Linked DNA regions of Lepisosteus oculatus. The protein of the gene in region 1 interacts with the protein of each later gene in a pairwise test. Links are inferred from orthologs where the notes say so. Each region holds a gene or a part of one and is shown in the gene's direction. Other genes may lie near its edges.

Region 1 (7,904 bases):
GGATGTGCATTGGAACTGAAATTCAGGGAGAGCCAGGAAAAGTGACCATTGTTACCCTAAAATATCTCCCCGTCTCTAGAATGGGAACCCTGGGAGGTTTCTGCAGAATATGCTTGTCTTGAGTGGGGGTCACCTATGGCTGTGACCCCCTTAGATGAACACAGTCCCCTCCTTTCTACAAACGCGAAGAAGAGAAGGGTAGCCCATCGCAGGTTTCATTTCCCGTTACAGGGTGTGTTTGCGCCACTTGACCAGCAGCCCCACTTCCTCATTTCCCCCAAGCAGAACATCATGTCCGGAGAGAGAAAAAGTGTGACGGCACTCTGTTCTTCTGACTTGTTTACTTTCAAATGTGTGAAAAAAATATTTTGGTACTATTCGCAGATTCTCTTGTGGATGTTGCTGTCAATCGGGAAGTCTGAGCAGCTTGTGCGGATAAGTTTAGCTAACAGAGACTAATCCGGTATTGAGACGTTTTGTCTTCTGTCTGTGGTGCAGTATAAAGCTGAGCAAGCAAACTGCCATGTTTGTGGTTTTAATGTTTTACAAGAACGACAGTATCCTACAGCAGAGCTGTGGGCAAGATTAACCTTGCTCCTTAGGGCGACGATCATCTTTTTATTAGCAGATTTCTAAAGTTATGTTTTGACAACATTACGGGTCATGAACAGACTGAGGTTGGCGAAGAAATCGTTCCAAAGTGAAACAGTGGGTAGATAGTGCGTATATCCTCTTGTACTGTCTGACCACACACCCAGGCCTAACCAGAATGATGTATCTCACCAGCTACACTGATTTCTTGTATGTCGTATAACTAATATTTGCTTTTTTGGCCTGGAGGATCATTGGCCTGGCGATAATTAAGTCGTCACAGAGGAGACAAAGCATTTGGTTAAAAATTCTGACTGCCAAGATTAATTTGTATTTAAGGGGAGGGCAGTAATGCTTTTTTAGGGGAGATCAGACTCTGGTGGATCTTGCAGTGCATTCACCCTCCTTTGGGTGGCGCTGTGGAGCCAAGCAGTGCCCAGACCAAGGAAGGGCAGTGCGGGGTTGCATTCTAACTCAGCTCATAACGAACTGGATAGTTCATTACTGGCTTAAAGGGGAACTGTGAGGCTATTTTTATATTTTTAGATTAGAAAGAATCTTTTTTTTCCCCTCCCCATTTATTCTTCTCTCTGGACCTGTGTTCTCGGACCCTCGTCAGGTTCAAGAGGAGAGGAGTTTATTGGCATGAGTACATGCAGCCGGCCAGGAGCCATGTCACTCTGCAACTCACAACTGGCAGCCCCACTGGAGCCCAGCAGTGGGAGCCTGGCCAGTACCTGGAGGGGAGACTCCTGGGAGAGCTGAGGCTGCTGCTGGAAGAGGTGTTAGTGGGGCCAGCAGGGGGCGCTCACCCTGTGGCTCATGTGGGTCCTAATGCCCCAGTGTAGTGACGGGGACACTAGACTGTAAACAGGCGCCGTCCTTCAGATGAGATGTAAAACCGAGGTCCTGACTCTCTGTGGTCATTAAAAACCCCAGGGTGTTTCTCGAGAAGAGTAGGGGTGTTACCCCGGTGTCCTGGCCAAATTTCCCCCCTGGTCTTTACCCATCATGGCCTCCTAATAACCCCCCTCTCTGAACTGGCTCCATCACTCTGCTCTCCTCCCCACTGAGAGCTGGGGTGTGGGGAGCGGACTGGCGCCTCATCCAGGTGGGGGTACACACTGCTGGGGGTGGAGGGGATCCCCATTGTGTCTCATTGTCGTGTTCTGTTCTGGGGGAATACACAGTACAGCACACAACACCCCCCTACATTACACAGTGTATTACAGACATAATAAAATAATAATAACAACAACAATAAATAAGTTGTGGACAACAAATATGTAGTAGTGAGAAAACAAACAACAACAACAACATTGGGTATTGAGTCTGAGGCCTTGTTGTTAGCAGTAGCCGTTGAGGACGCGGACTGGGGCCTGAGCACGGTCTTTCACCTTGACATTACATGTCCGTTCACAGCCCGTAAAAAAACCACACGGCTCATCACTGAAAGAACCGGTCGCGGAATGTCACTTCAGGCTACACGGGGAGGAAACGGTGAAATTACAAGTTGATGTGCTCAGAAGGTGTCTCTCTCCGGGTTTTCTAAACCGTTTGGGGGGGTATTTTAACCCCCAAAGTAAAAAATCTTTTCGCTGGACAGCGACGTTACGTCGAGTTCACTGTCATGGTAACGCGCGTTACCGCTCAATCCCGCTACAGGGCCGTGTTTGAAGTACAACGCAGTATTGGCAGTATTAAAATTTAAAAAGGCGTACTCAACGGCTTTGATTGATCGCTTGATTCCCGGTCCAGATGGCAGGAGATTAAAGATAAAAAAAAGGCCACTGTCCCAGTCCTTAATCTTATCCCTATTTATACCCCTGTTGCGTTTCTGTGTGCGATTGACTTTTAATGCAAATTGTAACACGGGTCGCGTCACACTGCGTAGACGTTACCTCTCGAATCTCTTTTTTTAAAAAATAAGTTTTTTATTTAACCCGAAATACAAAAGAAAAAAAAGGAGACGGAATATTGAAATAGATACAGAAATAGACACTTCGCAGGCCAGAGGAATTCACAATTGTAAACACTAAACATTATAGCTCTACAGGAAGGCCAAGGAAAAGAGACGTCGCCGGAGACCGTGTTGGTGGTCCAGCCGCAATGTGGTAAAATTTAAATTTAAATTTAAATTGTCAATGCAACTCTTTATTGCCATGCCAACAGCTTTGATCTGCCCCCCCGTGGATAGAAGCAAGGCAAACAACAGAAAACACATATTACACTTATTCATACTTCTATCTGCAGCAATCAGGATATACCTATCGAGGAACCTAACGGGCTCTAGGAGAGATCGGTGCTCAAGACCGTAGGAAAGTGGTTGAAATCTCAGGTCAGACACTGCTGCTGTGCATTTAAGGGCGGTCGTACTGTGCGAACTGACTCTGGATCGTCACTGGAAATGAGAACTTGTTCACCGTACTTATCTGGACCAATACGAGTAAACCCGGGGGGCTTTCGGCCCCTGTTTGAGGTCATTTGATTTAAGATAGCTGACCGATCACTCCAGTCGTTTCTGGTAAGAAGCCAGGGTGTCGATTTCACCACCTTGGCTGAGCGGTTTGTTCCACACTCCTACCACCCTTTGTGTCCCCGCCCGTCCTGATCCCAGGATCTTATCAAGTCGTCTCTTGAGAAATCTCCAGGGTGTCGGCTTCAGCAACGTGACTGGGCAGCTTGCTCCTCACTCCCACCACCCTTGGTGTAAAGAAGTCCTTCCTGTTCTGTTTTAAATGGACTCCCACAATGCTTTCAATTGTGTGACAAGGGATTCTCTGTGATTTGCTTTTAGGGATATCCTTTTATTAATTTTTTTATTGCAACCACAAAAAATTGAATACACAGCCGTACATACAACATAATCACTGCTGTACACACCTGAAGAAGGCTCCACGGCCGAAACGTGTTCTTTTTCTTCTCTTTTCAGCCTGGAATAAACCTATTACTTGTTCCTTTGCGGCCTATGCCTGCTGACGCAGCTCCCCATCTTAACTACTAACATAATCAAAGGTACATGATAAGTTTCAATTTAGAAAAAAATACTAAACTAGTTAACGTCAATTCTTTCATGTACGTACGTGTAGAACTGGTCTGGAGATATACTCTGATGTCTGTTTTAAATTGTTCAAATATGGATCTCTTCCCAGACCATTTCATTTGATGTATTTTTTTGTAAACATTACATTTGTACAGTTTTTATTTAAACATCAGAAATAAAATGTATATAATAACAAGCAAGTAAAATGATTATGTCAATAACAAATAATATTTTTGTTTTTCTTTACAATGGGATTCAAATATATATACTGTATATGGGAAATCCCTTGTGATTTAACTCGATCTCACTTGCACAGTGCTTACTGCCCGTTAATCTATACATGAAATGAAATGGTCTGAGAAGAGACCCACCTTTGAACATTTCAAAAGAGACATACCTTTCCTAAGAGGGCATACCTTCAGATATAATTTCTAAATGTAAGGACATGAAACCGTATGTGCGTATTTTATCTTTATTGACTTTGTTTCATCTTGTTTCGTAAAGAGCAATCGTGGTATGCCCCCCCTGATTCTGGTATATGTATGCTTGTGTATACTGTATGCATTTTGTTTCTTGTTTTTGTTATTGTGGCGACGCTTTTAAAAAAAAGAAAGAACTTCCACCGCACAGTCCGCCATTTTGAAGAGCTCGAAGACCGCTTTCCCGCCCCCCGCTTTCCCCACTTCCGGCGCACGACGCGGCGTCAAGCGACGCACGGGCTACGTGCGGCGTACGTGCGCGGAAGCGACGCCATTTGCTGCTGCTGCTGCCGCCGCCGCTACTGCTGCGCCGTGGCGGATGTTGGCTTTGCTTATAACAGACCGAGCTGAGCGGGAGAGGCCATTTTTTGTGTGTGTGTGTGCGCAAAACTTAAGGTAGCTTTCTTTTTTTAAACAAAAATTCAGTCATTGAGGCCTCGTCTTAAAAAAAACAGGCATAAAACGGAAAGTCGGGATTTGGTTGCGATAGAGCCCCCCGCGATCGCCGGAGTCGTCTTGGAGCCGCGCCGGGAAAGAAAACGGTTTTGTTTTTGTAAGTGAGCGGAGGAGGAGGAGGAGGAGGGAGGGTGAGACGGGCTGAACCGCCGGTTTATTGTTTTCTGCGCTTAAAACGTTAGCATACTGTGTGTCCTCGGCCGCTTTTTGGGGGTTTTTAAAAGCGCTTCCCCCGGCAGGTAGGAGATGGCGGGCGCACCGCGTTAAGGTCGTCCGAGTTCCCTGGCGGGAGGGAGCCAGTCTCTCCCTGGGCATTGCACGCAGACAATATTCCACGATTATTATATTTTTTATGGCGGACGTGCGTTATCGTACTTAGGTGTTCAGTTGTGTGTGAGTGAATCGGGGGGCGGTAGGCTTGTTTCTCGCTGCCTGGGGGACCTGCCCCTCGCCATGAGGCCCGTGTGCCTCTGCTGCTGCTGCTGCATTGTTCTGGACCCGGAGCTTCACCGTCCACCCCGGTGCACCGGAGTCCAGCCGGCTTAGAGGGGGCTACGGCCGCTGTACCTGGGTCTGGGCGCGCTTGGTTAATGGGTCACTCATCGTCGCTCCTGATGGGCGATTTAAAGCAGAAATAATACTTGCACGGAATCCAAAAAGGGTATTTTCTTGTTCTGGGAAGATGCGCGGCACACGCAACTTTTCGCCGGCGCGCTGCTACTTTTCCTGCTGTTGGAAGTCTGTTCCCGGTAGATTTGCGCCCACAGAAATAGGTCAGGCCGGCTGTGTTGCACAAAGCTTGCACGATGTTGGGTGGGGGGTAGTTTTTTTTGGGGGGCGGGGGGGGGGGGGCTTATATCCGTTGGATCGCTCAGTATCGTGACAAAGGAGCCGGGCGAAATGGCCGGTCTCACCCATGCGCTTTTTTTTTTAAGCAGCCCGGCTGTCGGCTCCGAATAGTGTGGCTGGGTAGGCCTGTTCCACCCCCCCACCGCCCTTTGTGTAACGTGCTTGGGGGAGCAGGGACCTGAGCGTCCGGGCTCGTAACTGGAAGGGTGTGGGTTCAAATACCAGGCGAGACCCTGCTGTCGTACCCTTGAGCAAGGTGCCACACTCGGGGAAAACTCTCCAGGAAAAACCCCAGCTCCCATACATGGGAACACGTGTGTGGTGATTTGGATAAAAGCATCGGCCTGGGTTTTTTTTTTTTAAAGTCATTTGTCTCCCCTGGATTGTGTTTTGCTGGTGGTTTTAACGTTTGAATGTGTTCAGTTCACGTCTTTGTGTTTCTGTGTGTATGCGCGAGTTGTTGTGTTTTGATAGCAATGCGTATGACTTGTGTCCAGATAGTCCTCACCCTCCTGCGCTGTGGTGTGTATAGTGTTGGTGGACCAGTAGGAGCCGTTTTCCCTGCTGAACCAGAATTTCCCAGTAATTACCCCCTCCCGTATGGCGAGGGGACAGTGTGCCGTAGTAGGTGCCACTCTTCAGGCGAGACGTGAAGGTTTGGACCACTGGGGTATTAAAAATCTCAGGACTGTTGGTAACAGTAGGGTGTTTATTCCAGTGTCCTGGCTGAACTCCGCTCTGGGCCTGTGCAGTTCAGTCCCGATACATTCAACAGGCGAAGCAGTTTCTCTCCCCTCCCCATGATCTGCTGTGTCTCCCAGGTGGGGGCTGCCAGTGCAGAATGATCACTGTGTGTCTCCCAGGTGGGGGCTGCTGGTGCAGAATGACCACTATGCGTCTCCCAGCTAGGGGGCTGCTGGTGCAGAAGGATCACTGCGCGCCTCCCAGCTGGGGGCTACTGGTGAAGAATGAGCACTGGGCGTCTGTATGTAAAGCAGTTAGGGTTGAAAGGCGCTCTTCAGAGGCCAGGAGTCCCCTGCAGTTTATGCTGTCTGCTGTTTTGCAGCGGGGCTTCAGATCCCTGCGTTGGTCCCTAACCTCTCCCCCACCCCCCTGCTTCCCTTCCCGCAGAGCGCCAGAGGAAAGACTCACCATGGTGAAGATCTTCGTGGGCAACCTGTCGCCCGACACCACGGCCGAGGAGCTGCGCGCCCTCTTCTCCCAGTACGGCAAGATCTCGGAGTGCGACATCGTGAAGAACTACGGCTTCGTGCACATGGAGACCAAGGCGGAGGCCGACGAGGCCATCCGCAACCTGCACCACTACGAGCTCAACGGGCAGCCCATGAACGTGGAGATCAGCCGGGGCAAGGCCAAGGCCTCCACCAAGCTGCACGTGGGCAACATCAGCAGCAGCTGCACCAACCAGGAGCTGCGGGCCAAGTTCGAGGAGTACGGCCCCGTGGTGGAGTGCGACATCGTCAAGGACTACGCCTTCGTGCACATGGAGCGGGCCGAGGACGCCATGGAGGCCATCAACGGGCTGGACAACACGGCCTTCCAAGGTGACGAGCCGCGGGCGGATTGGGGGCCAGCTGCCCCGTAGTGCTGGGTTGTAGTCGGGGTCTCCTGGCCTTCCTATGTTTGTGGTCTGAGGGTGGGTAGGGGTGGGGTGTACCATCCCACAGACGGGTTGGGGGGGGGGGGGGGTGGAGGTGTGGAGCGTACCATCCCAGTGACGGATATGATTGGGGGGGGGGTGAAGGTCTGGTGTGTACCATCCCAGGGACTGGTGAGGGAGTGGGTGTAGGAGTGGGCCGTACCTTCCCGGGGGGGGGGGGGGGGGAGTGGGGCCTACCATCCTGGGGACAGGGGGGGAGGAGTGGGGCGTACCTTCCCAGGGACGGGGGGGGGGGGGGGAGTGGGGCCTACCATCCTGGGGACGGGGGGGGGGGGGGTGGGGCGTACCTTCCCAGGGACGGGGGGTGGAGGTGTGGCTGCAGCAAAACCTCCCCAGGTTTTCTCCCGTCGCGCTCCCAGCCCTCGGCGGTTTCTGTCCGCCCCCGGGATCGGACGGGGCCGGGAGGGAGCGGTCGAGGAGATCGGGATGCTTACTCGCACCGTACGGCCCGCGAGACACACGCCACTGCACCACCTGTGGGCCGCGCGTTCCGAAATTCCGGAAGAACAAATAGCGTCCAGGGCGATGAGTGTGGTATTCCGGGGCATTGCCGTTGGCTGTTAAGGGTTTCCTTTCAGTGAAAGGGAAGTTCAAGGAAATCGTTTGTTTTTTGTTTGAAATGGCTTTTTTCCCCTGCGGGTCTTGTGTGGGTTTGGATGTCAGCCGCGGGGTGGGGAGCCCTAGGTGTGAAGACTCCACGGGGGGGTCGTCTGTCTGTCCCCCTGCTCCCCCCACCCCCCATTCTTTGTCCTCGTTTTTTTTTTTGGAAGGAATGTTTCTGGGGCTTTGCGGTAACTTCATGTGG
Region 2 (7,891 bases), on another chromosome or scaffold:
TAATTAGGCTCGGAGTTTTGACTGCCATCTGGTATTTGTTGAAAACACTCAAACAACTTCTCTGACAAAACTACAAGGCAAAACAAAGCAAAACCTGATATAAACAAAGCAGGTTGTTCTGCCTGTCAAAATCTTTCATGTGGCAAATTGCTACCTTAAAGAATCAAGGCTGCCACAGACCAATCAAATTGAAGGTCTGGGTAGATACTGTATTATAAGTATTATAACAATATAAGATATTGTAACAAACGTGGTAGAGCTCGTAGAACATGGAATAACAGCAACATACACATAGAGCATACAATATTGTGTTTTTAGATTTTCAGATTTGATGAAGTTCCAAGAAAGATTAATTCTCAAACTGTTGGTGGTAGGCATTCAAGGAAATGCAGTAATCTAGTGTGAGAACTGAATAAGGAGAAGGAGGTAGAGTACAGATAAAGGGTAACTGTTCAGACTGGGGTGATATAGTAGGAAGAGTAAGATAGAGATCTGCTCTTGCTAATGTACTGTATGTGAATGATGTAGATTCTGGTTTAGTGAGAGTTAGTTATAACTAGTCAAGTTTGCAGATGATACCTAAACAGGAGGAATAGTAATCACTCTAGAAGCAAAACAAATAAAAAAGAATTCAGAGAACGTTCAAGACTGGGCAAACATCTGGTAGATTATATTTAATTTAGACATGTTTGTGGTTTTTGTGCAGGAAGTAAAAGCAAAGCATAAATACAAAATGGGAAACTGAGCAAGTAGAGGCTACTTTTAAAAGACCGAGGCGCTCACGCTAACGAACATTTATATCATCCAATGCTGGGCACCAATAAAAACAAAATGTTAGGCAATATACTGTAGTTATAAGTGCAAAATTTAAATAGAGGGATAATATTTCCACAGCTCTAGTAAATCCTCATTTAGAATAGTACGTACACTCTTTGGCACCAGGTTATAAGATATAGATATTGCTGCTCTGGAACCTGTCCAGAGCATAAGAGATACAGTACATTGATGAGATCCATGTATCCAAAATCCTCCAAGGCATCAACAAAGTCAACTTAGTGGACTATTTTTTAGTATAAATAGTGAAACACAATGTTTGTAAAATTGCATTTGAAACCAAGAACAGGAGACACTTATTTAGCAAAGGGTGGAGGGTGTCTAGAGTAAGTCTGCCCAGTGCTGTTGTCAAAAACGATAACCTGGCTTCTTTCCTGACATCCTTGAATCAGATTACAGTTAGCTACAACAACTGAATGGGCTACATGGACCAAATGGCTTCCCCTTGGCTGTAGCCGTACTCATGTTCTTATGATGCTGAAGATCCTTGTTTACTTAAGAAACACAAAACAGTCTACAGTAACTAATGCATCACGAAGCCAGACTTCTGTGATTTAACTTTTTCCTGGAAACTTTGCCTGGGGTTTCCGCCCTTGCCACTCCTGCCCTGCCAGTTCGTCCCTCACTGCCTGGGCACGAACCTGGGTCTCCACCGTCACGGAACAGGGAACTTGCCAGCTGAGCTAAAGGAGAACTCCCCCAGCCCGGGCAGCTGAGATCCCTGTTATATACAGGGGCGTTTCATTACACCTGCAATCTCTGTTTGAATTACACTAAGAAGTTATATGTATCTTATTTTAAACCTTTTCAAATCCTACCTTATAGGTATACCTTATTAAATATTTTAAAACTCTATAGTTGTTTAAACTCTGTTAAACCTAAATTGTCTAAGCATGTCAGCAATTCTGAGTGCAACACATTTAGGATGTCCTAAATATACCATAATATATTTTAGAAAATATTAAGAGAAAGGCATTAACAGATGCAACCAACATGCCTATTCAGTATATAAATATAAAGAGACAAAGAAATTAATTACCAGTATTAATGCTACCAGAGCAGTGGTTTTCAACCTTTTTTTAAAAAATCAATTAATTTCTAGAATCAAATTCAAATATCTGCATTTTTGCATCAGACGGTTGAAGTGAAGAGAGTATGAGGCTGTAGTCCTGTGATGTGGAGAAGGTTTATTGCCCTAATATTTACAGTGGGGGGGCATGCTGGTCACAGAGGTAGAGAAGGCAGGAGGAGAGACGATAAAATTAGACATTTTATTTATCATCTGGGCATTCACTCACAGACTGAGTCATTGCCCAACCCTATCAGATTTTACAACAAGCATTCATCTGGTGGTATATGGGCCACAAATAAGTGGGAAAGTTGTAACGATCTGACTTGATAACTACTTCCCAAATCAGTTTACAGCTAATAAGGATTTCAAGGTAAGCAGTATCTCTAAGTTTATAAGTTTTGGCAGGATGAATTCCTTCGCAGCAAAATAAACACAATTATACTTAGACTATCCTGGAAGGGGCCGTGAATCCTGGGTCCTTAATGGTGGTACCTCAGTCCCCTTCCAAGCCTCAAAGATTCCCTCCTGCTTTGTGAAGTGTCCTTACTTCTTTTGTGTTGGTCATGTAAAAAGACACTATCTTCACAAAGATCTGAATAAGGTCTTCTAATTTGAAAAGTGTAATAGATGTAAAAGATGTAATAGAGGACAGGCAAGGTTTTCCTGCTATGACACAAACTGGAATACTGCTTTTTGTTTTGTTAATGGGCGGATGTAGCTGTGGCTCAGGCAGTCTTCCAAGTTTCTCTGACTAGTTGACTTCTCCTTCTGATTTCTTCCTTCCTCTCAAAAAGAAAGAGGAACTTTCTTTTAAAACCCTAAGCTCCTTCTCTAGGCTCACACAAGTGTTACAAAAGATAGGACTAATTACCCAATTAAACTAATCAATCAACTTAAACCTGGCCTGGCTTCGATCATTGAAGAATAGTTAAATTCTCCAATATGAGACCTTCTGTGCCTTTCATTCATTTGTATCTACTGCTCCAAAGTGACCATAATTAAAACAATCACCCCCTGAATGCAATCACCCCCTGATGCAAGCTGCCATCACCTGTAGCTTCATGTTGGAACTCAACATGGGTTCAATTCCTAGGGTGTTATCTTCAGGGAGCTTTTATATTCTGCGGATATTCTCGTGGGGTTCCTTCAGCTGGTCTGGTGTCCTCCCACTGTCCAAAGACATACTGGTAGGTTAATTGGCTTCTGGGAAAATTGGCCCTAGTGTGAGTGTGTGTGTCTGCCCTGAGATGGACAGGTGTCTTATTCAGAGTGTATCCCACCTTGTGCCTGTTGCTTGCTGGGATAGGCTCTGGCTCCCAAGTGATTCTTAATTGGATGAAGAACTTAAAGGATGGATATCAGAAACTGCTAAGTCACTTTTTGGAAGCTGCCAGATGAGAGGTCAGCTATGTTTAAACATTTGCCCTCCTTTTTAACTTGTGGGTTCTAAAATATGTATATTGCTATAAAAAGCTTGGGAAATAGTTATTTGAATTTTGTGAAACACATTTGGCTTCTCCCTATTCCCTCTGTACTCAATAAAGCCCTAATTTGTTTAAAATTTCTATCATGTTTAGTCCACAATAACATAACAAATAGAGGTTCAGTATATGCCAGCAGCCATATCACCCTGCAACTTACTACTGACAACCCATTGACGCAAAGCAGGTGTCACTCTGGTGAGTATCTGGATGGGAGACCTCCTGGGAAAAGGTTAAGTTGCTGCTGCAAGAAGTGTTAATGGGACCAGCAGAGTGTGCTCCGTGGTCTGTGTGGGTCCTAATGCCCCAATATAGTAATGGGGATGCTATACTGTAAAAAGGTGCAGTCCTTCTGATGAGATGTAAAATATGACTCCTTGTGGTCATTAAGAGTAGGTGTGTAACCCTGGCGTCCTGACCAAATTTCCCCCTGATCTTTACCAATCATGGCCTCCTAATAATCCCCATCTATGAATTGGCTTCATCACTCTGTTCTCCTCCTCACTGACAGCTGATGTGTGGTGAGAGTACTGGCACATCATCCAGGTGGGGCTGCACGCTGGTGGTGGTGGAGGGGAGTCCCCATAATGTGTAACGTGAGTGGAATGTCCAGAAAAGTGAAGTGTAAAGAATTATTTGTATTATATAGTATAAATACCAGATAGTATATATTAGTATAGATATACTAAATAAACCGACCTGTAGATTTAAGTAGTATTTTGGCATGAAACTGTTATATCTGAAGTCCATCTGATCAGAAATGTTGAGTGCATTTTTTCTCTCTGACCTTCCGTCTCGGTTAGCGATATTTGTTTTTCCCTTGCGTAAAGCGACATCTAGTGTCAGAATAAAACGTTCCCGAGGTTCTGATATTCACGTGTAGTTTCAGTCCTCCACTGGGTGGTGGCAGCAGAGATTTTAACAGGGGGTCTTCATGTAACTCCGCTTTCTTTTTCCAGCGATGTCGTAAATATCTTCGTTTTTGAACGTTGTTTGATTGCGTTTGTATAAAGTCTGGTAGGTATTGTTTTAAATATAACCTAATAGCTAAAATATTTGAATTAAACGGTGTGGATTCTTAACTCTGGGTTTTAACCGTACCTGTGGCCCAGATATGGTTGTGATGTGCGGGTCAGTAAATGGAGTACACCGTTTCAAGTCCTTTTATTAGGAGAAATAAATATGTTCTTCTGCGAAACCTGACGTTTTGTTTCTGAAAGCTACTATATTGCGCTCTTTTGTATCAGTCGTAAGAAGGCGGTTATTGTTTGTAGGATTTCAATATGTTGTGCTTTTGTTATGATAAGCATGAATGGTGATGGCGCGCCACGTTTAGTTGAACTTAATCTTGTGAGTTTACAAGAACGTGTGTATTTCTTAAAGCTGTTAGTCATGGCGTATAAAAAAGTCCTGGGGAACGTTTTTACTTGTCTTTGCTTCCTTTATGTGAACATTTAATAAAGACGTACAATGTAATAGTTAATCTCTGTCTACGGACTGGAAGTCAAAATTGCAGTTATTCTAAAAAACTCGCAGTATTTATATGATATGTAAGGTGAAATATTAATAACTTTTTTAACATAAGTTCTATTCATAGCTCGAGTTTTGGGTAGTTCAACCATGATTAGCAAGTGTTGTGAAACAGCCCCTAAGTACTACAGTCATGTAAAAAAGAAAGTACACTATCTGTCAATTAAATGGTTTTACGTATCAGGGCATAAATAACAATCGTCTGGTCCTCACCAATTTCTGTATTTAGACAAACCTAGCCTCAGATAACACAACACATTACAGATTTCATTATGTCATTGTTTGTTCAACAAAAAGTAAGCCAAAATGCAGAAACCATGTGGGAAAAATTAAGTACACCCTTACTGCTTCCATAGGAATTAAGAAGGTAATTAGCAGCCAGGTAATGCTTATCAAATGCACTTGATTAGTTGATCAACAGGAAGCATGACCACCTCTATAAAAGCAGAAGTTTTGGCAGTTTGGTGATCTTGAGCATTCAGGTGTGTTAACACCATGCAAAGGAGAAAAGACATCAGCAATGAACTCAGAAAAGCAGTTGTTGCTGCTCATCAATCTGGGAAGGGTTATGAGGCCATTTCCAAATAATCTGAAATCCATCATTCTACAGCGAGAAGGATTATTTACAAATGGAGAACATTCAAGACAGTTGCCAATCTTCCCAGGAGTGGGCGTCCCAGCAAATTCATACCAAGGTCAGACCGTATAATGCTCAGCGAAATCGTAAAGAGCCCAAGAGCTACCTCTAGGGATCTACAGTCCCGGTTAACATGTTAAATGTTAAAGTTCATGACGGTACGATCAGAAAAAGACTGAACAAGTATGGCTTTCATGGAAGGGTAGCCAGGAGAAAGTCCCTTCTCTCCAAAGAGAACATGGCAGCACGGCTTAGGTTTGCAAAGTTGCATCTGAACAAACAAGAAGATTTCTGGAAAAGTGTGCTTTTGACAGGCGAGACCAAAGTGGAGATGTTTGGTCATTATGCACAACGCCATGTTTGGCGAAAAACCAAACACAGTGTATCACCACAAACACCTCATACCAACCGCCAAGCACGGTAGTGGAGGGGTGATGATTTGGGCTTGTTTTGCAGCTATAGGACTTGGGCACCTTGCAGTCATTGAGTTGACCACAAACCAAAGTATTCTAGAGACAAATGTGAGACCGTCTGCCCGACAGCTAAAGCTTGGCCGAAATTGGGTCATGAAACAGGACAACGATCTCAAGCACACCAGCAAATCGACAACTGAATGGCTGAAAAAGAAAAGAATCAAGGTGTTGGAATGGCCAAGTCAAAGTCCAGACCTCAACCCCATTGAGATGCTGTCTGTGAGACCTGAAGAGAGCTGTGCATAAACAGATGCCCTCAAACATCAGTGAACTGAAGCAATGTTGTAAAGAACAGTGTGCCAAAATTCCTCCAAAACAAGCGACTGGAGGAATATTTATAAGAGACCGATAAACTCATACAGGAAACGATTACTTCTGCTTCTGTAAGCTACTGAATCATGGGGTGGACTTAGTTTTTCACGCATGGCTTCTGCATGTTAGCTTATTTTTTGTTAAATTAAATAATGACATAGTGGAATCTGAGCTGTGTTGTTTATCACCTGAGGTTAGATTTACCTAACTGTAGGACCTGGTAAGGACCAGTTGATTTTTTGTTATGTCCTGATATATAAAACCATTTCAGAATTGAAAGAGGGTGTCCTTTCCTTTTCACATGACTGTCTATGTTGACTGCTGCCAGCCATGTCGCAGCGATGTAGTATTACAGGCTGTTGCATTTTTTGTGCAGGCTTTGTGAATTAGTATTCTCAATCTTTCTTTCAAAGTGCCGTTGGTCTGTTTTATCAAAAGATCCAATTTTGTCTCCAAGGTATTCCGGAACTAAAGGAACATGTCCCTCTATGATGACCTGGGAGTTGAGACCAGCGACACGAAAACGGAAGGCTGGTCCAAGAACTTCAAGCTGCTTCAGTCTCAGCTTCAGGTGAAGAAAGCAGCGCTGACACAGGCCAAGGTATGGGAGAGTACCGTTTCATTGGTTAGATCAGTTAATATGATAACGATATGAACATGATGTAGATGATGCATAGGTCAGATTGATTGATTTATTTATTCAGAAATATTTCTTTTAAATTTCATCAAGATTTTTTAATTAGGACCTTTGGTTGGAGCAGGGCACGAAGGAAATAACAGTAGAATGCACAGGAAGTTTTTCTTTTCAAAGCTGAAAATATTTTTAATGTAGTCTGAGGTGTGTTTTTGGTAAAATATGATGTTTAAATAGATTTAACACTTTTCCTCCTTTCAGAGCCAGCGTACAAAGCAGACTACAGTTTTAGCCCCGGTGATCGATCTGAAGAGGGGCAGCACCAGTGATGACAGACAGATCTCTGATACACCTCCCCATGTGGCAGCTGGCCTGAAAGTATGAACGTTTTGGGTTAATCTGGCTTTTTTACATTTTATTCTGCATTTGTTTTTAAAACAGAATTGAGAGCTTGACCTATGAGTGATTGAGTATTGTGGTTTGTATGGGCAACTCTCCATCATGGTAACTTTTTACATTTTAAGTAGGTAGTAAAGAATGGCCTTAGACAAATAAAACCTGCAAGGGCTAACCTACATTGATTTGTCAAATGTCATTTTCAAGTTTTCACCCTTTATTAAAGTAGTTACTGCTTTAATTAAAATTCTATAAAGTCAAATATAAATATTGCAAGAGGCAGGGCTTGACTTCACATGTGCCTGAGGACTATTTTATGTGTTTGTGAATTAAGTGAAAGAGGCATTGGAACAGTTATAAATGAGAGGAGGCCATTCAAGCCAATCTGGTCCATTTGGTAGTTAATAGTTTATTAATCCAGTGATCTCATCCAGCCTTTTCTAGAAAGAAACTTGGGCATCATATGTTCAGACTCCCACACCCTTTGCCTTCTGTTCTCAGTTTTAAATCACTTCCTGCATA

What was found. The genes of interacting proteins can lie anywhere in the genome.
Region 2: the proteins of sf1 (region 1) and rbm17 interact in binary tests that used the Homo sapiens proteins (3 or more experiments, as listed by UniProt). The link is inferred for Lepisosteus oculatus from reciprocal best matches to the Homo sapiens genes SF1 and RBM17.

What each region holds. Positions count from the first base shown.
Region 1 is NC_090713.1:21,526,080-21,533,983, forward strand, and holds the start of sf1 (splicing factor 1), read left to right. Parts: upstream 1-4,388; 5' UTR 4,389-4,432; coding exon 4,433-4,509; exon of another isoform or gene 4,510-4,666; intron 4,667-6,549; coding exon 6,550-6,983; intron 6,984-7,904. UniProt on the Homo sapiens protein: Necessary for the ATP-dependent first step of spliceosome assembly. Binds to the intron branch point sequence (BPS) 5'-UACUAAC-3' of the pre-mRNA. May act as transcription repressor.
Region 2 is NC_090702.1:43,509,143-43,517,033, reverse strand, and holds the start of rbm17 (splicing factor 45), read left to right. Parts: upstream 1-4,303; 5' UTR 4,304-4,404; intron 4,405-6,796; 5' UTR 6,797-6,817; coding exon 6,818-6,940; intron 6,941-7,234; coding exon 7,235-7,351; intron 7,352-7,891. UniProt on the Homo sapiens protein: Splice factor that binds to the single-stranded 3'AG at the exon/intron border and promotes its utilization in the second catalytic step. Involved in the regulation of alternative splicing and the utilization of cryptic splice sites.